Linked DNA regions of Elephas maximus indicus. The protein of the gene in region 4 purifies or fractionates together with the protein of the main gene of each other region. This does not show direct contact. Links are inferred from orthologs where the notes say so. Each region holds a gene or a part of one and is shown on either strand. Other genes may lie near its edges.

What was found.
Region 1: the proteins of CD81 (region 4) and ITGB1 purify together in Homo sapiens (affinity purification with western blotting; 4 studies listed by BioGRID and IntAct, with this or other methods). This does not show direct contact. The link is inferred for Elephas maximus indicus from reciprocal best matches to the Homo sapiens genes CD81 and ITGB1.
Region 2: the proteins of CD81 (region 4) and PTGFRN purify together in Homo sapiens (co-immunoprecipitation; 7 studies listed by BioGRID and IntAct, with this or other methods). This does not show direct contact. The link is inferred for Elephas maximus indicus from reciprocal best matches to the Homo sapiens genes CD81 and PTGFRN.
Region 3: the proteins of CD81 (region 4) and CD46 purify together in Homo sapiens (co-immunoprecipitation; 3 studies listed by BioGRID and IntAct, with this or other methods). This does not show direct contact. The link is inferred for Elephas maximus indicus from reciprocal best matches to the Homo sapiens genes CD81 and CD46.

Annotation. Positions count from the first base shown.
Region 1 is NC_064822.1:6,452,889-6,460,274, forward strand, and holds the start of ITGB1 (integrin beta-1), read right to left. Parts: upstream 3,003-7,386; coding exon 2,936-3,002; intron 2,032-2,935; coding exon 1,946-2,031; intron 1-1,945.
Region 2 is NC_064821.1:163,065,936-163,073,523, forward strand, and holds the start of PTGFRN (prostaglandin F2 receptor negative regulator), read right to left. Parts: upstream 3,002-7,588; 5' UTR 2,727-3,001; coding exon 2,678-2,726; intron 1-2,677. UniProt on the Homo sapiens protein: Inhibits the binding of prostaglandin F2-alpha (PGF2-alpha) to its specific FP receptor, by decreasing the receptor number rather than the affinity constant. Functional coupling with the prostaglandin F2-alpha receptor seems to occur.
Region 3 is NC_064836.1:17,663,017-17,669,925, reverse strand, and holds the start of CD46 (membrane cofactor protein), read right to left. Parts: upstream 3,010-6,909; 5' UTR 2,874-3,009; coding exon 2,750-2,873; intron 1-2,749. UniProt on the Homo sapiens protein: Acts as a cofactor for complement factor I, a serine protease which protects autologous cells against complement-mediated injury by cleaving C3b and C4b deposited on host tissue.
Region 4 is NC_064825.1:135,506,748-135,513,896, reverse strand, and holds the start of CD81 (CD81 antigen), read left to right. Parts: upstream 1-4,145; 5' UTR 4,146-4,369; coding exon 4,370-4,435; intron 4,436-5,010; exon of another isoform or gene 5,011-6,715; coding exon of another isoform or gene 6,716-7,149. Other genes in the region: uncharacterized protein LOC126081186, read left to right, coding at 6,716-7,149. UniProt on the Homo sapiens protein: Structural component of specialized membrane microdomains known as tetraspanin-enriched microdomains (TERMs), which act as platforms for receptor clustering and signaling.

The DNA.
Region 1 (7,386 bases), on a different chromosome or scaffold from region 4:
ATATGCCCAAATATTAATATTTTTCCCAAAATGTCCCTTTGAAAAATCCTTATAAAGTCTCTCATATTGCACTCTTTATTTACAATATTATGAACAAGCCAATGTGTACGGAAAACACTTTAGCCTGAAAGCACATTACTAATGATGGTATTTTTAAAAGGAAACCAAAAAATGTAATACAGATTTTATTTCAGTAAGTATTCTCCTGGAATAGCATTGCCTATTACCATAAACAAGCATTTTAAGATTTATTTTGAAAAGCAATAGAGCCAAATAATTATAAGGCAAGGGTCGTGAACATATTTCCACAGGGTGATTTTAAAAAAAAAAAAGTCTTAATGGTATACAAGTGAATGGATACTTATGGCTTGGAGGCAGAATTTCAGTAATGACAGGAATTCAAAACGTGCTCTACTTCAAACTGAGATAAAAGCAAAAACGTTATCAGATGACTCAAAAAGTACCTTCATGAAAACAAAAGCACAGATGTAAAAGACATACGTAAAGGTTTTAAATAAAACGTTATCATGAAATTCGAGAGTGGGAAAAAAATGACATTAGTATTTATGTGTGTATACATGTATGTCATTTTAAAATATGTAAATATAAATCATAAAAGTATTATCAATAAATTATTATAAGTAGACATTTGACAACTATGTCACATATATCCCTAAAAATTATTTATTTAGTAGGCCAAAAACTTTTTCTAATGTTGACTTGGGGGAAATGGAGGATTGCCATTTATTTGGGATCACATTGTGTTCAGTCAAACATGGTGTTTATTACCTACCAGTTTCACAGTGCTGTATAAAGTAAGTATATTTAAATTAAAAAAAAATTTTTTTTTTAAGGGAAACAAACACTGATAAGAGCACATATGAAATTAGAGAAATAAATGGAAAGGAAAACCAAGGGCCAGATGGTTCAAACCCACGCTATCATCAAACCTAAGATACTACACCAAAGGAAACTAGTAAATTACACATTCCCAAATATGTGCCAATACAGGAAACTTTAAGATTATAATCAACACCTAAATAAAATTCCACTAAACATACTCCAAAATAGCATTCAATAATTTAAAAATTATGCCTCAAAGCATCAAAGGCTTAGTTATTTAGAGAATAACAGTGAATAAAATTCAAACCCTACCGTCACTGAGTTTATATTAGGATACAATCAATTCTGTGTTAGTTTACATCAAATATAATTGTGCAAGTTCATTTGTACCTTCCCCCCTCAAAAAAGGAGAAAAATCTATAGCAGTCTAAACCTAAAGGCCTAGTGTTTTACGGGAAGCAGTCCAATAAAAATATAATGCCAACCAAATGGACAAGCCACAGAAGTTAATGTAAAATTTTCTAGTAGTCACACTAAAAAGAAACAAGGGAAATTCACTTTAATAATGGATCTAAAGTATTATCATTTCAACACGTAATCACCTTAACAAAATTTAGTGAGCATTTTTATACTAAGTCTTCGAAATCTGGTATGTATTTGAGCCTTACAACATTCTTAGTGTAGACCATCCACACTTCAAGTGCTCACTAGACACATGTGACTGGTGGCTGCCAGGCTCAACACACAGCTCTAGACCACCACAGTCTTTCACACGTTAAAAAAACCCATTGCTGTCGAGTTGACCCCGACTCATGGTGACCCTATAGGACACAGAAGAACTGCCCACAGGGCTTCCAAAGCTGTCATCTTTACGGAAGCCGCCTACCACATCTTTCTCCTGCAGAGTAGCTGGTAGGTTTGAACCACCAACTTCTCAGCAGCTAAGGGCTTAATCACTGTACCACCAGAGCCTTATACTTTACACACAGATAACACTTATTCATTAAAGATTGTTTTAAATGAAAATTCCTATCTGCTACGTCCCAAGGACGTACTAAATTACTAGAGAAAACATAGTAAAGACTCAAACAATCTTACTTACTAAATTTGTACACCATCCACAATTTGGCCCTGCTTGTATACATTCTCCACATGATTTTGCATTTGCTTTTAAACATCTATTTTCATCTGTCAGGAAAAGAAATAACAGACACCTTTACTTGAAGCTTCAAGAGAGAAAATAATGAAAAATCAGGATCGCAAGGACAAACAATGCACCATATATGATTATCGAGTATGAAGCCTACAAGCCTAGTTACCAAGCTGATCCAGACCTACTCCCCAGAATGGGTGGGTCAGAGCAACTTTAAAGGGGTGATGATCACTGTCTGGGGACACTGGTAGAATCCTTCTTTCACTCAACACATATTTATTTGAAGCCTTTTTATGTGCCAGACATTATTCCAAGCACTGAGGATACAGCAGTAAAGAAAACTAACAGAAGTCTCTACCCTCGTGGAGCTTACAGTCTAGCAGGGGAGACAGACAAATAAACAAGATAAATAAGACACACTGCATGTTAGAAAGAGATAAATGGTAAGGAGAAAAAACAAAGCAGGGAAAGGGAAGTATGGGGAGGGGCAATCGACTATAAATACGATCGCCAGGGAAGGCCTGATTGAGAAGCTAACATTTGAGTCATGAGCTGAAGGAGGGACAGAATCATACAGATATCTGAGAGATCACCGCTTCAGGCTGAAGAGACACCCAAGGCCAAGGCTCTAAGCAAAAGGATGCCTGGTGCCTCTGAGCGAAAGCAAGGAAAGCCCAGGAGAAAATAAGAAAAGCCCAGGAGAGAATGAGAAATAAGGTGAGAGACCGGGTGGCAGCAGTTGCTGGCGGAGCCAGGCCGTGCAGGACCTTGTATGCCATTTTAAGGACTCTGCGTTTTACTCTGAGTGCGATGGGGCCAGTGTAGGGCTTTCAGAAGGAGCAGCATGATCTGACCTAGGTTTTCCCTGGAATATACTTGGTCAAAGAATGAGACAGGATACTGAAAACACAGCTATGAAACATTTTTTTTTTTTTTTACCTGTTTGGCTAAACACATAGCAAATTGAGCTAATCAGTCCAATCCAGAAAATCAGTTGTAAATTCATCTGAAATACAAAATGCACATCATTAATAAAACAAGATACATTAAATACAAAATGTTCCCAGCCACCCTGCCTGTTGATTTTATAAATATAATCTCTCTCAATACCTTCTTCTCCAGCACCCCTCCACAACCTCATCACCCACCTCCCCCGCCCAGCCCACTACCCTACCTGTTACCTACACAACTAAAATAACTTCCATAAGTCTCTGGGCTCCGTTCCTGCCTCTCTCCAGTCAAATATGTTTTAACATTTTATTAGCCACACTCCGAAAGAATAATAGTGTCAAGTATTCCCTAACACCATAAACGCCATCCAAGGTCTCGTCCCAGATAATCTCTATTATCTCCTGCAGCTCCCAGGGAGCCAGACAGGCATATCCAGACTCCTCAGTCGCTCCAAGGCTGAGTGCCAGCTTGAGTGAACTTTTCAAAAACTCCATCATGTCATCCTCCTGCTTGTAACAACGGGGTTTATCAGTGTTTATAGTGTGCACTACACTATACATATATACACACATATACACACACATACATAGGTACACATATATGTGTGTGTGTGTGTATATATGGGTCATATATATGGTACAACGTATAGCGTTCAGCAGCGTTAAGACCAACATCCTACACAAGGCCCTGACTCAATTTTTGAATTTGATGGCTTTCTTTAAGAAAAATCAACTTCTGTGCATGGAATTAATTAGTCAAAGATTCGGTTCAAGTCCCTACATTTTCTAGATCCACAAACTAGACCCACGAAAAGTTCATAAAAGGACCCTGAATGTATCGAGTCCCTTTCAGAATCTCTAAAGAAAAATTAATAAGTCTATATAGTTTTGATTTAGTGATTTATATTTGATTCTGAATATTTGAAAATGGTGTAATCTATAATAGTAATAATCAGAATATTCTATCAAGCAGAATGCCCAACCATTACGTACACAACTCTTTTCTGTGAATTCAAGAGTTCACAATGTCAATAAGCTATGCTTTAGGAGATTTGGTCAGAGACGGCTCTAGCCCCTGGTTGCTGAAACTGTGGCTATCATCTGACTACTGCACTGGGACTAGCAGCCAGCCTGAGAATTTGTCATAAATATCTGTCCCTCCCACAAGAAAAAAATACAAGAAAGAAGCACATATATATATATATAGGTATATGTGTATGTGTATGTGTGGGATAGCAAAGGGTAAAATTTTAGCTTTACTAGTTACCAAAGAAATATAAAACAAAGCAATAAAAGATAAACTGCTGGAAAAAATGTTTTTTTTACCCATTAAAACCATCACTGCAGAGAAGGCTGAGAAAAATCAATATGCATGGCTGGCAGCTTTGTAAACATATAATTTGGGGGGAAATAATTCAACAACCTATATCAAAAACTATAAAAAATGTTTCTACCCCATGACTTAGCAATCCAGCTACTGAGGAAATAATTTAAAATACAAAAGATAATTAAAAAACAAAAAACAGGCTTTTTAGACTGGTCGAGACTGGAGGACTCCTTGAGACTACTGCCCAGAGATACTCTTCAAACCCTGAACCGAAACTAACCTCTGAGGTCACCTTGTAGCTAAGTAACAGATTGGCTCAAAAAATAGTGAATATCACCCGTAAGTAATATGCTCCTTTAAAAAACTCACCTGTATGAGACCAAACGGTCAACAACTACTTTAAAACAAAGATGAGAGTGTAAAAGGGCAGGGAAACTAGACTAATGGAAACAGAACCACCAGAATGGAAATATAATGAGAATGTTCACGCACTGTGAAGAATGTAACCAATGTCACTGAACAACATGTGTAGAAATTGTTGGATGGGAACCCAAACTGCTGTGTAAACCTTCACAAAAACACAATAAAATACGATTTATAAAAATACAAAAGGAGATATACACATACACCCACAGACACACGAATGTTCAATGTAGTACTATATGGTATATTTACAACAGGAAGAAATGGAAACATCCTATACCCAGTAACAGGGGAACAGCTAAGTGTATCAGCCTGATGAACTATTAGGCAATCATAAAAGTAATAAAACGCAGCATCATTAAAATAATAATTCTGGATGTAAAGTACACATTATGATGACAGCTATGTAAAAACAAAAGTATACAAACATATACTGCAACCACGGAGACCTGAGAATGACAAAGAATTATAAAAAAAAAACCAAACCCACTGCCATCCAGTCAATACCAACTCACAGCAACCCTATAGGACAGAGTAGAGCTGCCCCATATAGTTTCCAAGGAGCGGATGGTTGATTCAAACTGTGGACCTTCTGGTTAGCAGTCAAACTCTTAACCACTGTGCCACCAGAGTTTCCTATATACATAAAATGTATACGCAAAGTGTTTTTCTTGTTTTTAATTTTCTTTTTTTCTTCTCTTTGCTTTCTCAATGTAAATAATTATGGCCTGTGTGGTACTCTTTTTTTCTTGGTAAACTTCCCTTAGCAAGAAGAAGTTAACTGAATTCTACCTTAATTTAAAAAATGAGTATTTCTTTTAAAGGCCTCCATCTCAGGGGCACAAATACCAGGATGCTAGTTCCACAGCCACAGTCCTTTAAGTTGTGCTTCAGGGCACCCCTGGGGTACTTGCTTTCCTCTGTTAAATGCTGGTTTCCAGGGCACAAGAATGACTCGCATAGTCATCCACTTTGCAATCCTGAGCAGATCAGCCAGTCCTGTTAAGCCACAAGCTGACAATTTTGCTTACATTTCAGTGGTGACTCCATCCAAGAGACCAACAAAAGCTGAGTGTCACAAAAGTGAGAAATACCTAGCTATTAACCTTTTAAGGCCTGCCTAAAAGGTTTAAGATGCAATAAATCCATGTGGACTATAATTCTAGGCAATTCAGATGTTTTCAATTCCAAAGCTCTGACTGAAAGGACTAAAAAGACATGGAACGCTGAGGAAAGGCATCACCGTGATGAATGCAGCATCTGAACAGCTTCCACACAAAGTGAACAGAACAAACATCTGCTCCATGTATGGGCTGATGCATGCTTCTTTAGGATACTATTCAGGCTACTTTAATGAAACTAACCTGCCTTAAAAAACCCTTCACAATGTCATACAATTTAGAGAATTACCACTAAAATAAAGTTTTCAAATACTCTGAAGCTATCTAGCTTTAAAACGTTGCTTTAAATGCCATTGCCCTTTTCCTTCTATAAGCTTTGGCAAGTTGAAGATGGGCTCTGTGAAATGCTCATGCCTCTGGAAGAGCTCCAAACCCAGAAGCAGCAAGAAAAGGCCTTCGCGGTGAAGAACAGCTGAGAGTAACATGGAAAACAGCTGGGAACAGCTTAAGAGTTCAACTCTCTACTTTGGTCAGCTCACTGGCCAGAAACAGAGAGGCATTGTCACTGGCTGGTGTTGTCTATAAAAGGCCGGACTTTCTCTCAGGGAAATGGAGAAGCCACAGAAGACGGTAATTAGGAACAAAGAAGAACCATGGGACAATGAGGCTTGGAGGACACCACAGAAGTGGCCATGAGGGAAGCAAGCAGCAGACAGCCGGATGGTAAAAAAGAAATGACTAAGACGACAAAACAGCCTCCCCTAACGGATCCTGGTAATCTGCGAAGATACTGAATATTCCTCCTGCACCTGCGTGAGGAAGTGGAAGAAGAAGCAGGCGGTAACAGCCTCCTTATTTCGAAAGCGCCTAAGGAGGCACTTCTGGAAGTGTGGTCTAAGGAATAACTGCATCAGATTTACCCGGGAAGGAAGCCCACCTCAGACCTAAAAAATCACAATCCCTGCAGGTGCGGCCTGGAGTCCTGCACTTCTAGCACTCCTGGCAGTTCCTACGCTGAGAAACTATGCCCTAAGGAGTTCCCACAAATGGCGCTTCTCAACAACAGCTCATCTTGAGGGGCAAGAGGGAGAGACGCCTTTCCTGCTATTGTCCTAGTCCTGTCTTTCCTCTCCTCTTTATAACCAAAGGTCTGGAAATAGTTGCCTACATTGGTTGTCTCCACTTCCTAACCTCCTACTCACTCCTTCACCATCTATAATTGGTGTCCAATCTCTACCATGCATGTGAACCTGTTCTTGCAAATGAACACTTTCCAGGCTTTATCTCAAGCTCTGCATTTACTCCCTTCTTCAAAAGTTTCTTGACTGCCTACAATATACTTGGAATACATCCACCCACAGGATTTACACAAGACATTTAATACTATTCATCATTCTTTCTTCACATACTCTATTCCCTTAGGTTCTACCCGTCCCTCCCTCCCCGGCCCCCCATCTCTCTGGAAGTTCTTCCTCAGTCTACTTTGTCAGGTTTTGTGCCAGATCTGGAAAAACAAAGATCCCTGCTTCAAGAACTTTCAGTTCAGTTCAAAGACAAACATACAAGTAA
Region 2 (7,588 bases), on a different chromosome or scaffold from region 4:
ATCTGTCCACCCTTCCCTCTGTCCACTCAGTAAGATGCCAAACATGCTCTAATGTGTGTTTTGGGCACTCAAGAAATACTGTATTGAATGAATGACAAGGCAGGTCAGACACAGGCAACAGAAGTTAAAACCTGCTCTATGAAGCTGAGCAGGTTCTGGCATGACTGTGGTAGTGGAAGTGGTTAGGAAAGACTCATGGAGGACATGAATTGCAGGGAAAAAAAGGAAATACAGAGCCAAAAGGAGAAAAGCAGGAGGGCCCATTCCAAGATTAAAAGAAAGGGGAAAGCTAGAAGGTTCAAATATGTCCTGTGTAAAGGACAGAAAAAGGTAACCTAGGATGAAGTTTCTCAGCGAGAGGGAAGACCAGGGGGAGAACATGGGGGGCAACACTTCCTTGGAAGAAAAACATAAGGAACCAATGAGCAAAGGTGGGATTCCCCAAACATGATCCTAAAGGACAATGATGAACTTAGAAAAACGGCTGGAGGAAAAAGCCAAGCAGGAAGATAACAGAAGTTATCTGTGTCAGGATCTGTCAGGATCTGGGCTAGGACAGTAACTGCAGCAACAGGAAGACAAGAGGGCACGTCGAGTCTGTCCGGTAGGAAAACCCATAGTACTGAGGGACTATGTGACCGTGAAGGCCAAAGAGAACAGTGATACCAAGATTCCGCTCAGGTTGCAATACAGGAGGAAAGATGATATTGCTTATCCTCATATTAAGTTTCAGGAATCAGTACAGTGCTAGAGTGGTGTAAAACAGGGAGTCTTTCCCAGAGGTCAGGCTGCAGGCACACCGGGCACACCGAGTGAGCTCCTGTGGGGCAGTTATTGTGTGGAACATCAAGTTCAGAGAACTGTTAGGGGAAAAGGTGTTGGCTGGTGACATCACAGAAATTCTCTCTGTGCAGCTAACATGAGACACACAGCCAGGGCGGAATTCACTGTGTACAACCAAGACATCCCAAGCTGTGCCTTCCCCACTTTTACTTTGTTTTTGCCGACCCCTCTTTGCCTCTTCTCCCTTTTTCTTCCTTCCCACAGTTACTCAGGGGCATTCTTTTCAAACTTCTACCTCCCCCCACCCTCTTAGCTAATGCACAGGCTGTAAACTGCCCAGCTCTAGGGGGAGTTGTCACATAAACCATGGAATGAATGGCAGCTCCTAGAGTTGTGCAGTGCACAATCTCACAACCACGGGCCATGGCCTACTTGACCTAGACACGGAAACCAAATGGGTGGGTGTGGAATCCATGTGCACCATGCTGAGAATATACATGTGTCCGTGGTGAAAGGGAAAGGCTAAAAGCACTAGGATCAGAGACCACAGACATGTCACAAAATTAAGCGAGAGATGTGGGAGCTTTCTGCACACAGGTTGCAGCTGAAGCAGTGGGGCTAGATGAGCTCTCCTAGGGAGTCAGCTTGAAAAATCCCCTCAGAGGTGAAGGAAGAAAACACAGCAGCAGCTAGACAGGCAGGGGTCACAGGGATTGGGACACGTGGGCCCTGGTGCCAGCAGGAGGGGAGTGGCTGTGAGAGGCCTCCACTGGGACCCTCTGGCCATAAGTGCAGAACATTTACCCTATGTGCAGCTGGGGCCTGGCTGGGGCGGCCGCCATACTCCATGCAGTCTGTGAAAGATTCAGATCTGTCTCCCCTAGAGATTGGAAGAGAACCTGTGGTCACTTCGGAGGATTCATTGACCAAAAGGATCCAGGATTATCCAAGCAGTTAAGGACCAGCCCTCATAAAAAAAAAAAAAAATAGTGGGCACTTAATAAATGCATGTATGTCTGTGGCAGGTTAAGATAACCATGTGTATCTATTATGAAGAGGTTTTTGTGTGTATGGAGTGTAAAATGGGGGGGGGGGAACCATGAAAGATCCCTTGGGTTGGTGACAGGGCGCTAGGCCAAATGGTCAAGAGGCACCAAGGGTTTCCGGGAAGGTGGAAGACAAGGGACAGAGAGAAAGGGAAAGTAACAGGTAAAAAAAAGTTGGGAAAGGCTCTTAGGTCTTTGTGTATAAATATGCTGCTTCAAGAAAAGCTAAGAAGAAATGACTGAAGCAGATTTAGTCATCACTAAAACGATGGAAAGACTCGCACCCCGCTTTTTATTGTAACACTCTGGGGCCCTGTGACCTTTGGAGAAAGAAGTTGGTGGATTCTCTCTCTTCTCTAGAAAGACACCTCGGCGTGGGTTTGTGTGAAGAGCAATTCTGTCCGTGGCGGCTATGGCGGGGCATATCAAAGATTCATATTTCCGCCCTTCAGCTGCGGACGCGGGCCGGATCGCAGGCACCTTCCGGGCCGGGAGTTCAAGGTGAGCCGGGCTCCCGGCGGCCAACAGGTAGGGAGGGCCGGGGGGGAAGCCAGCCACCGGCCACTCCCCACCCCGGCACATGTCGGGGAGAGGCTCGGCCTGGAGGCGCGGCGACCTGCCCACCGAGCGCGGGGCCGGGCGGATCTGCGCTTGGCTCCGGGCAGCCCCGCGGCCGCTGCCGCCCCCACCCCCCGGCCGCCCGCCCGCCGCAAGCCGGCCGGGCCTCCCGGGAGCGGCCCAGGGACCCCCGGCGGCCCAGGCCGCGCGTGGCAGCCGCGCCCCACCGATCCCCTCCCCCCGGGGCCCGGCAAGCCCCCGGCGCCACGCGGATCCCCGCGCGCACTCACCCAGTGCCAGGAGCGCCAGCAGCAGCGGCCTCGGCGGCAGGCGCCCCATGCTCGCCGGGCGGGAGCTACTCTCCCCCTCCTCCGCCTTCCCCGCCGCCTCTCCTCCTCGTCCTCCTCCAGCTCCGACTGCTCCAGAGTCAGCGCTCCTCCGCCTGGGCCGCGCGCCTGCTCCGCTCGCCTCTCGAGCCGATAAATCCCAGCGCTGGGGCGTACGTGCGCCCCTTTCTCCGCTCCCTCCCTCCCTCCTCCTTCCTTCTCTCCCCGGGCCGCCTGGGGACCGGGATCGCGGCACCCGAGCCGGCCCCGCCGATCCGAATGTGCAGCCCCGACCGCTTCCCGAAAGCAGAAGGGAAGAACCGCAGCGCCCGCCCGCCCGCGCCTCCCATCCGGCGCTTTGCCAGCAACAAACACAAACTTTCCCAAGCCCCTCCCCGCTCCAGGTAACGGAGGAAGCTCCGGGGCCACCAGCTTAAAGGGGAGGAAGCGTCGGATCCCACCCAGCTCTCCCCTCAGGGTCCCCACTCCACGATAAACTTTCCTCCGACCTTTAAAAGTTGGCCATGGCAAGACTTGTCTGGGAATCTCATCCCTTTTGCCCTATCCCGGGACACCCCGTCGTTGCACCACACTGGAGTAAGCCACGGAAGTCTACAAAGCCCTTAGGCTAACTCCTCACCCGGCTAACCCTCTCGTCCAAGCTAAGCACCCCACTATCCAGCCACATGGCCCTTACTGAGAATTTTCAGAAAGGATCCTGACACCACCGATGACTGCCCTGACAGGGAACACAACAAAGAACCCCTGAGGGAGCAGGAGAGCAGTGGGATGCAGACCCCAGATTTCGTAAAAAGACCAGACTTTATGGTCTGACTGAGACTAGACTGACCCCAGAGATTATGTTAGCCCAAGACAGGAATCATTCCTAAAGCTAACTCTTCAGACAGGGATTGGGCTGGACTATGGGATAGACAATGATACTGGTGAAGAGTGAGCATCGCGGATCAATTAGACACATGAGACTGTGTCGGCATCTCCTGTCTGGAGGGGAGATGAGAGGGCAGAGGGGGTCAGAAGGTGGCAGAATGGACAAGAAAAGAGAGAGTGGAGGGAAGGAGTGTGCTGTCTCATTAGGGGGAGAGCAATTAGGAGTGTATAGCAAGGTGTTAATAGTGGTTAAGTGCTACGCTGCTAACCAAAGGGTCGGCAGTTCGAATCCGCCAGGCGCTCCTTGGAAACTCTACGGGGCAGTTCTACCACATCCTTATAGGGTCGCTATGAGTCGGAATTGACCTGAGGGCACTGGGTTGGTTTGGAGCAAGGTGTTTATAAATTTTTGTACTAGAGTCTGACTTGACCTGTAAACTTTCACTTGAAGTACAATAAAAACTAAAAAAAAAAAAAAAGGATCTTGAAAGAGCTGAAAGGAGTTTAATGGCCATGGATTCCAACCCCCTTTATTTTAGAAGGAAGCACAGAAGCCTAAAGTGGTTAGGAGACAAGGATTCACAGCAAAGTGGCGAGACCAGAACCGACTCACCACTACCCTGTGTCTGGATGAGCCTTGCTGCCCTTGCTGCCTACTTCCCTCCCTCTCCAGGACAGTTATGGCACTCATTAGAGCAGCTTCCCACAAATACACTCGTTTTTTTCAAAACCCCAAGTATATTAATAGCCACAGTACTTCATATGGAATGCACTCTTAAGACTTTACATTTATTTCTTTAAATGGACAAAGTTGGTTGCCAATAGAGACTTCTTTTTCTCCTACAGTAGGGTTTTGTGCTTTTGATTTGAATACAAACAGCCCCAGAGTACTGGGAAATTAGTTAATGTGCATTGTTTAAAACTTCACAAGGATGATTCAAACTTACAGGGAGTTATACCCATGCCCCCTCCCACCCCCACAGCCTTTCATTAATATATGCAAATCCAAGCACAGATGTTAATGGGAAAACTGCCCAGTTTGGGGGAGGAGGGCACTGCTTTTATTCTGATGCATCGTTATTGCCATTAACAAGTACAGGGTTAGCTGGGTATGAACCCTCCTGAAAGAAGCTCCTAGAAACTCATTCCTGCTACCGAACCTTTGCTGAAGCTGTCCCCCCACCCTGTAATTTCTTTCCCCTTTCTATCCCAAGCTTTTCCCAGAATTTTTCTGGAAAGTTTTGAAATTTAATTGATTCAAACCTACCTAATGCTAGGTCTTGGAAGATGCTGAAGCTACAGAGAAGGGTAAGACCTGGTCCTCCCGAAGTTCAAGTGCCGGCTCATTCCTGTTCTTAACCACTCAGTGCTCAATGTCTGAGCCACACATTTTGGCACTTGGTTGCATTCAGTGCAGCACCGCATATAATCTACTACTCCCTTTTTGGGTTTCCCTAACCTAACCTAATCCGTTGCCGTCGAGTCGATTCCGACTCATAGTGACACTATAGGACAGAGTAGAACTGCCCCATAGAGTTTCCAAGGAGCACCTTTCGGATTCAAACTGCCTACCTTTTGGTTAGCAGCCCTAGCTCGTAACCACTAAGCCACCAGGGTTTGCACACTACTCCCATCTCTGTCTAATAACGGAAGGGCCTGGAGACTGTCAGACTCTCACCTTGTTACTGCAGAGTAGATGTTTGCTAAAATTCTTGTTTAACAAACAAGTGCAACTCTGGGAATGTGCCTGACACACAGTAGGTCTCCAACAAATTTTAACAGAGTGAATTAATGCCAGGCATTGGGCTAGACCCTAGGGATGCAGAGATGACTAATGTGCTTACAATCTGAGGGGAGATGTGTAAATAAAGAAGGGCATCATGACTTAGTGTGATAGAATGTACAAGGTAGAGCAGAGACACAAGGGAGTGATCGGTCCTGGGAAAGGTTGTCAGAAGAACTTTCAAAGAGGGGATGACTTTGAAATGAGTCCTCAAAGATCAGTACGTCTTTGCTGTGAGGTAGAGGGATGAGCTTGCAATGTTGTTCTTAGTTGCCATGGAGTCAGCTCTGACTCATGGTGAACCCACGTACAACAGAAGTAAGTGCTGCCTGGTCCCGCATCATCCTCATAATCGCCAGCATGCTCGAGTTCACTGTTGCCTTTCAGCCTAGTGGGCTCATCTTCCAGCACTATATCAGATAATATTCTGTTGTGAGCCATAGGGTTTTCATTGGTAATTATAGGAGATTGATTGCCAGGCCTTCCTTTCTACTCTGTCTTAGCCTGGAAACTCCACTGAAAGCTGCCCACCATGGGTGACCCTGATAGTATTTGAAATACCAGTGGCATAGCTGCCAGCATCATAGCAACAACACACAAGCCACCACAGTACAACCAACTGACAGACGGGTGGTGGGAGCTTACAGTGGATGCATATATTTCATATGACAGACTTTTTCCTCCTCCTCCAAGTTTTATAAAATTAATTGTGTGTTTCACAATCGTGAAATAACAGCAGTTAATAGTTGAAATGGGAGTCCCTGGGTTGTGCAAACAGTTAACATGCTTGGCTGCTAACCAAAAGGTTGGAGGGACCAGTCTACCCTTACGTGCTTCAGAAGAAAATCCTGGCTATCTACTTCCAAAAAATCAGCCATTGAAAACCCTATGGAGCAACCAAAGACACAAGGAAAACATTAGCCCAGAGACTAAAGGACCACATGAACTAGAGACTTTGTCAGCCCCTGACCAGAAGAACTGGCTACCACCAAAGGCTGCCCTGACAGGGAACACAACCGAGAGTCCTGGATGGAGTGGGAGAGAAGTGTGGAGCAAAACTCAAATTCACATAAAAAAAAAGCCAGCTTAATGGTCTGACAGAGACTGGAGGAACCCCTACAACTATGGCCACCGGATGCGCTGTTAACCCAGAACTGAAACTATTCCCAAAAGCCCACTCTTCAGGAAAACATTAGACAAGTCTGCAAAACAAAAAATAATACATGTGAGGAATGTGCTTCTTAGTTCAATCAGATACACGAGACCAAATGGGCAGCTCCTGTCCAGAGGCAGGATGAGAAGGCAGGAAGGGACAGGAACTGGTCAAATGGACACAGTGAACCCAGGGTAGAAAGGGAAGTATGCTGTCACATTGCGGGGTTTGCAACTAATGTCACAAAACAATATATGTATAAATTTTTGTATGAGAAATTAATTTGAACTGTAAACTTTCACCTAAAGTGCACACGCATACACATAAAACCTATGGGGCGCAGTTCTCCTGGACACATATGGGGTCACCATGAGTCAGAATCAACTCATTGGCAATTGGCATTAATTGAAGTAGTAAGAATAAATAAAAGTGTCCAGGGAGGGTGTTGGGATTGAATTATGTTCCCCAAAAATTATGTGTTGTGAATTCTAACTTTTATGGCTGTAGTTATAATCCCATTTGGGAATAGATTGACTTTGTAATGTTAACAGGAAAGAATTAGTATAGGGCGTGTCTTGAGTTGATCTCTTACAAAATATAAAAGGAGTAGATTAAGGTGGCAGATATGGGTGAAGATACATGACAAGCCACATGAAGATTGCCCAGGAGCAGAAGTTCAGAAGAGACAGGGACCTTCCTCCAGAGCCAACATAGAACCAGCACCATGAATTGGGACTTCTGACCTCTTAACTGTGAGAAAATAAATTTCTATTTGTTAAAGCCACCCACTTGTGGTATTTCTGTTATAACAGCACTAGATAACTAAGACAAAATTTGGTGCCAAGAGTGGGGTGCTGCTCTAACACATACCTAAAATGTGGAAGCGGTTTTGAAATTGGGTAATGGGTGGGGGCTGGAAGTTTAAAGTTCCTAATAGTAAATGCCTAGATTGCCTTGAAGAGACTATTGGTAGAATTATGGATATCAAAGGCGGTTCTGGTGAGAGCTCAGAAGGAAGTGAGAAGAGCTATAAAGAAAGTCTCTGTTGTCT
Region 3 (6,909 bases), on a different chromosome or scaffold from region 4:
ATTCTTTTTTTCAAAAAATTCCTTGTTTTCTTCTCATCACCACTGCTTTTTAATGGTGAAGAAAAGGAACCCCCAACCAAAATGAACTTTTTAATGATCAGTGAGAAGGGAGACTGAAGTTCTGTGAGCTCTGGAAAGTCTACGTAAACAGGGAAGACAGATACTTTCTGACCCTAAGCCGCCCCTGCCGTACTACTTACACACCACAGAAAGGCCATCCTAAACATGGCTCTTTAAAGAACTTTCCTCCTGGAGAGCAGGAAGAATTAACTTCTTCCTGGGCTCTAAGCCCCTGTCAAATATATTTGCTGGTACTTAACAGCTACAAATCAAAAAAACCAAACCAGTTGCCATGGAGATGACCCCACCTCATGGTGACCTCATATGTGTGCAGAGTAGAACTGTGCCCCATAGGGTTTTCAAGGCTGTAACCTTTTGGAAGCGGATTGCCAGGCCTTTCTTCCGAGGTGCCTCTGCATGGGTTTGAACCACTAACCTTTTGGTTAGCAGTCATGCACTTAACTATTTGCACCAAAATTTGGGCCTTTAGCACCTTAAGTCTGACAAGACAAGATGTCTATCTTGTGGGGAGAGACAGAGAACATAAAAGATAGTTTTGGCAGGATGATCAAAAGTTAGCAGGTAGACGAATGTCTGTCTACCTCAGAGAGGGTGGTCAGAAAAGGCCTCTCTGAAGGGGGAACACCCCTGCTAGCTGGCAGGATAAGAAGGAGCTAATTATTTGGAGAGGCGGGAGAGTGTGCCAAGGCACAGGGAACAGCAAGTGCAGACACCCTAAAGCTGCAGAGCTTGGCCCATGTGCTGAGGAGAAAATCTGCTTCCAGTCATTTGTTAAATGCAATAGAGAATCGTGCTCCTTTCTTCCATAGCATTTCTTTTAGTTTATAATATATTCGTTAGCATGATGTTATGGATAATATCTACCAAAAAAAAAAAAACCACACCCGTTGCCATCCAGCTGATTCTGACTCATAGCGACCCTACAGTGACCCTACAGGACAGAGCAGAACTGCCCCACAGGGTTTCCACGGAGTGCCTCGTGGATTCAAACTGCCGACCTTTTGGTTTGCAGCCGTAGCTCTCAGCTGCTGCGCTACCAGGGCTCCGGATAATGTCTATCACCCTTTAAATTCTACTAATATTTAGTGATTGCCCACTATGTGCCTGGCACTGGGGCTATAACAGTGGACAAAACAAATAAGGGTGGAGAGAGTGGAGCGGTACCTTGAACCTCCAACCTTTCAGTTAGCAGCCTAGAGCAGTTAACCGTTTGCACTACTACAGACTTCTACATGTAACCGGATCCTAAAGATAACCTGGGCATAGAGACACAGGTGCACAGACTAGAAGGAACACACCAAAATATTAAAAAATAGCTGACCTTTGTGCAAGTTGCATACGATAGAAACACACACACACGTATTTTTTTTTTTTTTTACCATTTTTTAAGTACTTATCCCATTCAATAAAATATGAAACAAGCTTAGTGGGATAGACCCTCTGCTTTAGTTTATGAACTGTAGGGGCCACATTAACATTTCTTTCTTAGGACACTAATTTCTTACTAGGTTTGGCTACCAAGGTACCACGGCTTGCAAATATGCCCTCAAATATGGCACAATCTAATGAAAAGAAGGAAAACAATGCCCAAAAGCCGTTAGGTAATAGAATTAGAAACTGCTTTAAAAAAAAATTTTTTTTTTTTTATATTGGGTTTTTTTTTTTTTAGGAGCAGAAAGATGGCTCGGGGCGGGGGGGTGGGGGAAGAGCAAGCAGCAATCTGCCAAAGAAGAGCGCTCCTCTGCCGTGGACCAACACGGTCACCGGCAAGGAGCCTGTTTCCAGAAGGTTTAAAAAGCTAAGTTCCCTTTCCATCCCCCTAAACCTTGGCATCTAGTGCCTGCTCCGACCGCAAGCACAACAAGCACAATGTACCCTCCCCAACCCCACAGCTCGAACTCATTCATACAAAGCAAAACGAGCGTTTCCTGGCTCCACACTCGGTACCGCCAAGTAGGGCCCCCTCAACGTCCGCAAAGTACACTCTGCGCCAAAAGCGTACCTGGGCTCCGCCACCCCAGCCTTCAACGCGGATACTGCAGAGACCTTGGCAACACTCGAGACCCCAAGTCACCTCATACCAAGCCCTCACCGAAGCACGCCATCTGCTCCCCTTCCGGGTGAGCCTCAGTCCCAGAAACACCGCCCTGGCCCTTGCTGGCGGCACAGCACGGCTCCAGCCAACGGCGGCTGTGCCTCTCCGCCAGCACTCACAGCACAGCTAAGGAAACCCCCCAAAACCAAACCCACTGCTGTCCAGTCGATTCCGACTCATAGCGACCCTACAGGACAGAGCAGAACTGCCCCACAGAGTTTCCAAGGAGCGCCCGGTGGATTCGAACTGCGGACCTTTTGGTTAGCAACCGTAGCACCTAACCACTAGGCAACCAGGGTTTCCACAGCTAAGAAAGGTTCATTTAAATCACCGTAAACACGGCACAGCCGCTGTAAAAACACCTGCGGCGGCCACCACCTCCGCACCGCCCAGTTCCGTACTGCAACCAAGCCATGCAACTCATGGTCCCCCCAAATCCCGGCGCAGCGCGACCCCGGCGAACCTTGCCATGCCCTACACCATAAGATACACGACCCAGGTCAGCCGAGCGCGGGCCTCCTCGCCCGCCCAGCAGCCTTCCGGACTGCGCGCGCACCCTCGCCGGGGTCTTACCGGTGTGTTTAATTAGCAGGTGGAACACTACAGACATCAAAACCGCTCCCAAGGAGCACCAGGAAGTAAAGGGACTCTCGCGGCGGCAAGCAGGGGCCGTGGGCGGCGCGGCAGACACTGTCATTTTCCCGGTGATCCGGCGGAAACCCGAGAGCCTTCGGGGCAGAGAAACCCCCCAGAGCCTGGCTATCAGACGCAACAATCCTCAGCCTCACGAAGTAACAAGTACCCAACAGCAGGTGGGCGTGGCCCGGACCACGCCCCGGGCGGAAGTGACTTGTAGTACAGGAGCCAGGTGAGGCCAATCGGCGCCCTGGAAGGCGGGGCCAATCGGCGCCCTGGAGGGCGGGGCCAATCGGCGCGCTGGAGGGCGGGGCCAATCGGCGCGCTGGAAGGCGGGGCCTCGGTGCCCAGGCTTGCAGGCAGAAGGCGGCCGCCTAAGGGGCCGGAATAGATGGGTGTGGCCTGACTAACCCAAGGGGTTTTGAAAGTGGCCGCCAGCTCCCCTGGAATGGGGCGTGACTGCTCTTGCTACATCCGCTCTTCAGCGTTACAGCTGGGTGAACCGGGTTACCGCCCTGCCCAGGAAGGGCGGACGGGAAACTTGTTCCTTTACTGGGAACTGGGCATTGAAGAATAAAAGGCACTGGGCTAAAAATGGACACCAAGGGTGCAGGAAGTGGGTCACTGTGTATCTCAGTCATCTAGTGCTGCTATAACAGAAATACCACAAGTGGATGACTTTAACAGAGAAGTTTATTCTCTCACAGTCCAGTAGGCTACATGTCCGAATTCAGGGCGCTGGCTACTGGGGAAGGATTCCTCTCTCTCTGGGCTCCAGAGGAAGGTCCTTGTCATGGGTCTTCTCTGGGAGCTTCTTAGCAGGGGGAACCTCAGGTCCAAGGGATGCCCTGTGCTCTCCGTGCTGCTTTTTTGGTGGTATGAGGTCCCCAACTCTGCTTGCTTCCCTTTCTTTTCACCTCTTGAGAGATAAAAGGTGGTGCAGGCCACACCCCATGAAAACTCCCTTTACATTGGCTCAGGGATGTGACCTGGTAAGGGTGTTACAATCCCACCCTAATCCTCTCTAACATAAAATTACAATCACAAAATGGAGAATAATCACACAATACTGGGAATCATGGCCCTAACCAAGTCGATATACACGTTTTTGAGGGGACATAATTCAATCCATGACACTGTGGAACCAGCACCCCTCAGAGCCCCATTGTCCTGGGGCACTCCGGGTGGTCTGGACTACTTGCGTCTTTACCCAATATTTGGCATGAATCAGGCATGATTAAGGATCGTACTTGCTTAAGAAGTGCCTTCTGCTAAACCCTCTCAACACCTGCTGGTTTTCAAAATCACAAAGAGGGTTTGGCCACTGCACTCCCAACCCTGAGTGGAAATTGCTCTTCCTGGACTTCCTTCAGAGACCCCATGGGAAGGTGAATTGTTTAGAAACAGGACGATTAGCATATTGCACCTCAATTCTGTGTAGCTCTTGCTCTTGAGCAGCTGAATGTTTTATTGAAGGTGAAATGTACACTCATAAAAAATGTAAAGACAGGGTGTTTTAAGTGCCAAATTCCTAGAAGCAATGAATGCCTTAGGAGATGGGATGGGTTAAATGGAGTGGATCAGGAGGAGAACTTTTCTGGTGAGAGAATCTCTCCAACAACCCCTAAAAATTAAGAATGAGTAAGATTTATCAGTAGAGCTGCGAGTAAGCCTGTGTGACAACGTAAATAAATAAAAGTAACCTGACTGGTATTTTAAAAGCGGTCAAAAGAGTATAAAAACATCAGCCAGTGTTGGGCAAGGAGGGGCATCACTCCCTAACTTTTAGTGGAAAAACAAAACTTTGGAGGTCAGGTTAGCAGTACGTTAAAGGTCTTAAAATGGACATGACTTTTAAACCACAGTCTCACTTACCTAGTGCCGTCGAGTCAATTCCAACTCATAGTGACCCTATAGGACAGAGTAGAAGCGCCCCATAGAGTTTCCAAGGAGAGTCTGGCGGATTCGAACTGCCGACCCTTTGGTTAGCAGCTGTAGCACTTAGCTTATCCCAAAACATCAGCGCTGTGAGCAAAGATTTGTAATTTTGGAAAAAATGTAAGTGCTGAGGGTCTAGTAAGACCATTGAAGAATTTATGGTAGGTACTTTTATGTGATGAAATCCTATGTAGCAAGTGTTGTAAAAGATCACTCTGATATATCAGTATGTACATCATGACGTTCATTTTATTAAAACAAAAGCACCATATTAATGTGCTTAAAAGGAGACTAGTTGGAAACATACCAAAATTAACAGTAGTTGATAGGCTTATGGATATTTTGTTTTCTTTGTGCTTTCAGTTTTATAAGTTTTCCGCATTGATCCTATGTTACATTTGGTCAAAGGTTAGTTTTAAAACTCTAACCCATGTACCCAGTGATATTTTGTTAACAGAATGATGAGGATGGAACCTGTGTTACACAGGGATAAGGTATGAGAGGATGGTGAGGAAATGAAGGCCCTCTAGGAAGCTCGAATGGTCCTTCTGTAATTACTACAGTTTATATATATTTAACATAACTCTGTATCTGAGATGCACTGAAGATTTTCTGGGTTCACCAACCCATAGAATTTCCTTTTCCTGTGAAAATTTTGTGAATTCTTGACAAAGCATAGAAAACACTTAGTGTAGAGGTGGTATGCAAAGTAAACACCTTACTATCTTGGATTTTAAAATGCTGACGTTCCATGATGATACTTAAAGGAAGTAAACTTAAAATAAGGAAACAGTGAATAGGAAACTTAATGATGGGGAAATGTCATTTCTGTTAATGCTTACAGTTGTGAAAGTGATATGACAGAAACATTCTGTGACTCAATATTGCACTTATTTGTGAAAGCAGAAAATCTGTTTATTATTCTCTGCAACAATAAATACTAAAAATGTCCCATCTGGCTCTGCTGGTCTCACCCCATCTGGAGCAAGGGAGAATGAAGGAAACCAAAGACTCAGGTGAAAGATTAGCCCAGATGACTAATGGATCACAAATACTACAGCCTCTACCAGACTGAGTCTAGCACTACTAGATGGTGCCTGCCTACCACCACCCACTGCTCTAACAGGGATCACAGTGGAGGGTCCCAGACAGAGATGGAGAAAAATGTTGAACAAAATTCTAACTCACACACACACACAAAAAAAAAGACCAGACTTACTGGTCTAGCAAAGACCGCGGAAACCCAGAGAGTGTGGCCCCCAGACACCCTTTTAGCTCAGTACTGAAGTCACTCCTGAAGTTCACCCTTCAGCCAAAGATTAGATAGGCCCACAAAATAAAAGGAGACTAAAGGGGTACACCAGCCCAGGGGCAAGGACTAGAAGGCAGGAGGGGACAGGAAAGCCAGTAATAGGGAACCCAAGGTCGAGGAGGGGAGAAATGTTGACATGTCATGGTGTTGACAACCAATGTAACTAAACAATATGTGGACTAATTGTTTAATGAGAAGCTAGTTTGTTCTGTGAACCTTCATCTGAAGTACAATTTTAAGAAAAAGTCCTATCTGTTTTGAAGCTTAGAAGTAGGAGTTTTTTCACTTGAGAAAATTAAAAAGATAGGAGGAAAAAAAATGGCTAGTGTTCGGTTTCCTAGTTTCAGGTACTAAATTAGATTCAAGAATATTATCTTACAGGAACCTTTCAGACAATGAAATTTTCTATGCTTCGAGTTCATCAAGCCATTTTTCAGGTAATTGAAGACTTTCACATTTGATTTCTTACACTAATTTTTAAAAATAATTTTTATTGTGCTTTAAGTGAAAGTTTACAAATCAAGTCAGTCTGTCACATATAAACTTATATACACCTTACTATATACTCCCACTTACTCTCCCCCCAATGAGTCAGCCCGCTCCCTCCTTCCAGTCTCTCCTTTTGTGACCGTTTTTGCCAGTTTCTAACCCCCTGTACCCTCCCATCTTCCCTTTAGACAGGAGATGCCAACATAGTCACAAGTGTCCACCTGATACAAATAGCTCACTCCTCATCAGCATCTCTCTCCAAACCATTGTCCAATCCAATCCATGTCTGATGAATTGTCTTTGGCAACGGTTCCTGTCCTGGGCCAACAGAAGGTTTGGGGACCATGACCACTGGTAT
Region 4 (7,149 bases):
CAGTGTCACCAAATTTTACATGTAGAAATCCTTGAACTGGTATGTGTTCTGCTGTGTATATTCTCAACCACAACAAAAAATAAACTATAAAAAAAAGTATTACTTATCTCGATTACGCAGTTTTTTGATGCCTGCTTAAATTTCACGACTGAGGCAAACGCCTCAACCACCCCAAGCTCTTCCCAGCCTTGAGCATAAATACCAGGATAATTGCGGCCATTTCGGAAGCTCCCACCATAGCATCCTCTTATTTTTATCATATTTGTGTCTTTACATTTGAAGTGTGTTTCTTGAGGGTAGCGTCGAGATGGATCTTGTTTTACCACAAGTGGATGGCTTTAACAAACAAACGTATTTCCTGACATTTTGGAAGCTAGAAGTCTGAATTCAGGGTGTGGTTCTGGGGGAAGGCTTTATCTCTCTGTCGGCTGTGGAGGAAAGTCCTTGTCTCTTCTGAGCTTCTGCTCCTGGGCAGTCTTCATGTTGCTCAGCATTTCTCTTCTCCCATCTCTGCTTGCTTCTGTAATTTGCTCTTCTTATATCTTGTAAGATATTGACTCAAGACACACCCTACACTAATCCTTTCTCATTAACGTAACAAAGACAACCCATTCCCAAATGGGATTATACCCACAGGCACACAGGTTAGGATTTACAACACTTGTTTTGGGGACACAATTCAATCCCTAACATTAACTATAACTCTTTGCTTTCTTATTTTGGGGGTTGCTTTAGAGTTTATAGTTTACATCTTTAAGTTATTGGCTACGCACAGGCATTCAGTTGTGTGCACCGTGACTGATTACAGATAACCCTGGGAAGAATGGGAATTTCAAAGCGCTTAATTGTGCTCATGAGGAACCTGCATAGACCAAGGGGCAGTCGTTCAAACAGAACAAGGAGATACTGCGTGGTTTACAGTCAGGAAAGGTGTGCGTCAGGGTTGTATTCTTTCACTTATTCAGTCTGTATGCTGAGCAAATCATTCGAGAAGCTGGACTACATGAAGAAGAATGGGGTATCGGAATTGGAGGAAGACTCACTAATAACCTGGGATATGCAGATGACACAACCTTGGTTGTTGAAAAGAGGACTCGAAGCACTTACTGATGAAGATCAGAGACCACAGCCTTCGGTATCGATTACGCCGCAACACAAATCAAAAATTCTCACAACGGCACCAATAAGCAACATCATGATAAATGGAGAAAAGATTGAGGTTGTTAAGGATTTCATTTTACTTGGATCCACAATCAACAACCACAGAAGCAGCAGTCAGGAAATCAAGCGATGTATTGCGTTGGGCAAACTGCTGCTGCAAAAGAGGTCTCTACGGTGTCACTGTGAGGACTAAGGTGCACCTGACCCAAGCCATGATATTTTCAACCACCTGATTTGAATGCAAAAGCTGGACAATGATTAAGGAAGACCGAAGAAGGATTGATGCCTTTGCGTTATGGTGTTGGTGAAGAATATTGAATACACCATGGACTGCCAGAAGAACGAACAAGTCTGTCTTGGAAGAAGTACAGCCAGAGTGCGCCTTGGAAGCGAGAATGGCAAGGCTTTTTCTCACGTACTTTGGACATGTTACCAGGAGAGACCAGTCCCTGGAGAAGGACATCATGTTTGGTAAAGTAGAGGGTCATCGGAAAAGAGGAAGACCCTCAAGGAGATGGAGTGACACAGTGGCTGCAACAATGGGCTCAAGGGTCACTATGAGTCAGAACCTACTGGAGGGCACCTAACAACAACAACAACTGATAACTAAGACACTGGTCAAGCTGGTGGGCCACTGGTCAGGGCACTTGAGCCACTTGGCAAGGACAGGAGGTGGTTGGTTCCTCCGGGAAAGCCACAGTGTGCCAGGACCACAAGGTGGCCGCTTCCATCGCGTAGCCCTTTCCCCGTGAGGCCAGGTGTCCTGAGCATAGGCTCCACTGTGGGCCCAGCCGCCTTCTTTGGGCCTCCCAGCTGGCTGCCACACATGTCCATCCAATTGATCTCAGAGAATGCCAGGCATGTGACTCTCCCACCGGAACCCCTAATCGCTCCCACTACAGGTCAGAATCGAAGGCAGCCCCACCCTGGCCTTCTGCCAGGTCCGGATGTCACCTATCTGCCCCAACCACTGCTTCTAGCCCTCTTCCCCTCACTCCCTCTACTCCAGACCACTGACCTAATTTCTGTCCCTCTCCCTCCGCCCCCATGTTCTGCATGGTTGGCTCATTCCAACTGCAGGCCCCATACTGGTGCCCCCTTAAGCCTCCACCAAGCACCTGGGGATTCCCTGCTATCCCCCCCCCCCCACCAGCACTGACAAGGTCAGTGAAGGGGACAGCTGTCTCTGGCACCAGGGCCTCTGGTCCTTGAGGGAAGGGGTCCTGGCTGCCCGTCTGTCCACAGCCAGTGCTGGCACATGGCCTGGCACACAGCAGGCCCCCACTAAACATGTGATACATGGCTGGAGAGGAGAGAGGAGCTGGCCAAAGACAACCTGCTTGGGGCATAGTGGGCCCGGGGCAGTAGGCACAGTGCTGTCACTCCCTTTCCTGAGGGGAGGGAGGGTCAATGTCTCCTATGCTTCCTTCCTCAGAGGCCTCGGGAGGGCCTTCTGCTAAGGACGAAGCCCACCTCTTTGACAGGAAATGTCCCCTGGGGACCACGGGAAGCTGATGGAAGATAAGGGTGCCCAGGCCTTCTAGATGGGTTTCCTTACACTTGAGGCCTGTTCTGTCTCCTTTAAATGAAAAAAATCCTAGTAAGCCCTGGTGAAGGTTTAGATACTTTTAGTACAGTATCACTTAGCTATGCACAAACATAAAAGTATGACCTCTTTGTCCTGGTAGCTCTTATATAAGCACGAAGCCAAAACAAATTCGTTTTTTACCAAGAGAACTGGAAAGGTCTTAGGACGGCAAGCAACAAGAGAGAGCGGCTCTGTGGAGGGATGCGGCAGCCACTGGGCATCCCTGGCTATTTAAACTTACAATTAAATGCAATTTAAAATTCAGTTCCTCGGTTGCACTCGCCACGTTTCAAGTGCTCAGGAGTCACATATCCTGGGTTACCGCAGATACGGAACACCACCATCATCCGGAAAGTTCTACGGGCAGCGCTGTGATGGATGGTGTTCGGTGAAATGAACCGACTGCCGGCGCGCGTGGCAGGGGGAGGCACAGTGAGGTCTGCTTCTCCAGGCCTGGCCCCACTGCCCTCACCACGGGTTTCCTGGTGTAGACCCGTGAGAACTTCATCTGGTGTCACCTACCGCGCGCGCGACCTGGGGAGGAAGCATCCCTGGCTCCCTGAGTCATCCCTCCATTTCTGCAATAGCCCAAAGCAAGAAGCAGGGGTTGGCCCCGCGCCTCCAGGGACGCAGCGGGAAGTGCGGGGCTGGCACCCCTGAGGGGTATCCATACCACCCAGGATGGACATGAACCTCAAAACACTTGGGGGTTCTCCCACAGGTCGCTCGGGCCTCCTAGATACGTGAGTAACCTTTCAAAGAAAGACTCCCCTAACAGCTGTCTGCAACTCCACTTTGTAAGGGGCAAACGCGTGGCAGCCTAAAAGTGTGGCGTTTTGGCCCTTCCGGCCGGCGACCCACTGACTCGGGCCTCACCGCCCACCCCGGGTCCGGCCCCGAAAGCGATTGTGAACTAAGAGCGCTGCGCTCTGTGCATAGTCGCCATCACCTCCTTCTCGGAGCCTTCCTCGATTGTCCAAGGCGCCAGGATGGGAAGGGTCCTCCCCAGGCCCCCGGCTGCGCTCTTCGGCGGACGTTGCATGCCTGTCCTCAGGCGCAGCCTGGCAGCGGTCCCCCGGGGCTCGGAGGGAACAACGGCTCGGCGGCGCCTATCCGCCGCACCGAGGTCTGAAACCCCGAGGTCTGCGTGCAAGGGACGGGGGAGTGGCCGGGGACGCGACCCAGCGTGCGCTCCCGCCCCGCCGCCCTTCCAGGGGCGCCCAGGCAGACAGCACCGCGCAGGCCCCGGGGCACGCAGCGCGGCGGGGCGGGGATCGGGCTCCGGCGGCGGGGCGCGGGGGGGCGAGGCCTGGCGGAGGGGCCCGGAGCTGGACCCGCGGGGGCGGGGCTGGGGCGGGGCCACGGTGTCCTATAAGCGGCGCGGCGCGGGGCGCGCGCCCGGCCAGAGAGCGAGCGAGCGCGCAGCGGCGGCGGAGACGACCCCAGCGCGCACCCGGCCAGGCTTCCCAACGCCCCCGAGCCCCCAGGCCCCGTGCCTCCGCGCCTAGTGCGCCCCGCGCCCCGACCCGCGCCCCGCGCCCCGCGCCCGCCAGGCCCTCGCCGACCGCCCAGCCCCCGCCGCACCGCCGTCAGCGCCCGCAGGCCGCCAGCCGCGCCGCCATGGGGGTGGAGGGCTGCACCAAGTGCATCAAGTACCTGCTCTTCGTCTTCAATTTCGTCTTCTGGGTGAGCGGCTAGGGGCCGGGGCGCAGGAGGTTGGGGCGCGGGGGGCCGGGGCGCGGTGGGCCGGGGACCGGGGTGCGCGCCAACCCCGCAGGCCCGGGAGCCTCGGTAGGCCTGGCCAAAGGGCGCAGCCCGCGGGGCCGCCGCTGCGGGCCGCCAAGTTGCAGACACCTGTCGGCGTCGGGGCGGGTGGGGGCCCGGGGTCGGTAGGCCGCGGCGAGGGGGTCGCTCGGGGCCACTGCGCCCCCTAACGGCGGGCCGGGCCGAGGGCCGGGTTTCAGGGCGCCAGCCTTTGGGCGTCCGGGACTCAAAGCCCCAGGGCTTGGGGGCCGCTGTGCTGGCGACCTGGGCGGTTGGAGCCGGCAACCCATAGGGGAGGGGTCCGGGCCGTCTTCACCCGGGGACGGCCCCGCTCGGGGCGGGAGCCGGGGCCACCCTGCCGCGCCGGACGGAAGGGGGGTTCGGGGGCGGGGCTCCTGGCGCTCCGCCCCATGAGCTCATCGGGCCGCCGCCTCTAAATGGGTGGTGGGGAGGGAGCGCTTGCTGGGTAGGAGCCCTGGGGGCCGGCATCGCGCTCCGCCCCTAGCCCAGTCCATCCTCCTCTCCGCAGTCCCCCTCCTAAGTCTCGGGTCGGCCCCGGCAGAGGGCTGACCGGAAGCGCACTGGCCCGGGCATGCCCGTGTGTAGGGGGCCCGCACCGTCTTGGCCCAGCTCTAGGGCGCCGACCCCGCGCACCCCAGCCCCCACCACACACTTGGATTCCAGGGGCTGGGAAGCTTTGAGAGGCGTGGGCCTGGCCATAAGAGTTGGCACAGGGCAGGGGGTATCCGAAAGACCTGGCGGCTCCAAGCTCGGGGCTTGATCCCCGGCGTCGGTGCCGAGTGCTGGCTGGGATCTCCACTTCGGGAAGGGTGGCCCCCATGGTCACTGGACTGCAGCCCCGGTGTGGAGGGTCTCCCGGGTCCTCTCCCTGCCCCAGAGCAGCCTTCTCCTGATCTTCGTGGTAACTGCTGGGGAGTGACCGGTTGTGTCTTTTTCTTTGTTTCCATTTCTGGCCAGTCTTGGAATTGGGGAGGAGGTGGAGATTCCTTGCTGGACTGGAAGGTCTGTGGGTGCGTGCCAGGAGCTCCATTCTACCCTCGGACATTCTCCTTGGCAGTGACACCTCTCTGGTACCCTTTCTAGCTGCTTTGCCGTCCCAGTCTGACCCACCCTTATGGCGGGACAGTGTCCCGGGTGAACTGTGATTCTCAAGCTCAGGCAGTGACCAAAGGAAACCAAACCCAGTGCCGTCAAGGTGATTCTGACTCATAGCCACCCTATAGGACAGAGTAGAACTGCCTCATAGAGTTTCCAAGGAGGACCTGGTGGATTCAAGCTGCTGAGCTTTTGGTTAGCAGCTGTAGCACTTAACCACTGCGCCACCAGGCAGGGGCAGTAAAGTTGTAAAACGGCCCCTGGAGCAGACTGGGCTGAGACATCGGCTTCCCGTCTGTCTGGCTGGCTGGCGTGGGTTTGCTTCAGGGAGGTATTTGGGAGGGGCGCAGGGGAGGGCAGAGGCTGGACTCACTCCCAGCTGGGAGTGAGGGTCACATCCAGCCTGCTGGGGCCGGGAGCTGACCTCGGGAGGGTACCCTGGGGTTCCTGGAGCCCAGGGCCTCTCCCCAGGGCGGGGAGCAGTGAGGCTGCTTGTGCTTACCCTGCCCAGGACGGCCCCAGGAGCCTTGTAGGAACCAGCAGTGGTCCAGGGTAGTGGGCGATGGGTAAACTGAGGCCCTTATGCCCCTCAGCTGGCCCCTGTGTGAGCCGGACTATGACCCTGGTAGGGAAGGAAAGGGTAGGCAGAGGAGGGGGCTTCTCAGAAGTGGGTTTTTGTTCCTGGGGAGTCTGAGGGGAGTGGGCCAGGCTGGGCATCACCCTGGATAAGCCCCTCTGTGGCTGATCCCCAGACAGGCCTGCCCCAGGATCGTGGCCTGGGTGAGTGTGGTGGTTTCCCAGGCAGCGGGTGCCCTTCTTTCTTTGTTGTGACTCAAGGAGACTTTCCAAGGCTCCTAGCTGCTCCACTCCCTCAGAGCATTGAGAGCTGTGTCGGCCCACAGTCACCCCCCCACCCTGCCAACACCACCCTGAGTGCCCTGCACCCCGCCCCCCCGAGTCCTCTGCATCAAAGCCAAGGGTGGGCTCCTCAGAGTCAGCCTGGGCGGGGTCTGTTCCTCGGCTGCCTCACCCTCTAGAGTGAGGTCCCAGGGACCCCCACCGGGGTTTGTTGGGGGATTAACTAATATGATAAGTGCTGAGCGAGGGGCTTGGAACGGAGCGGGCTTGGGAGACGGGTCTGGGCATGGTGGCCCGGCAGGGACTATGGCAAGGGAGAGCCTTCCCATCAGTCTAGGAAGCGCCCTGCAGGTGAGTGGTTCTGACTGCCTAGTGGGTCAGCGTTCCGGGAGCACTAGGGTCGTGGGGGGCCAGGAAAAGCGGCTGAGGTCCTTTTCCAGAGAAGTTCCCACACGGGGGGAGGCAGATAAAGGACTGGCATGCTTCTCCTTTGCTGCTGCAGAAAGACCTGCCCGCCTGCACCCCACATCTGTTACATCCCACCAGCCTGCACCCCTGTATCCATGTGCTGTCAACTGCCTGCACCACACATCCGTGCTTTCCCACCCACCTGCACCCCTGTATCCACGCGCTGTCAACTGCCTGCACCCCACGTCCGTGCT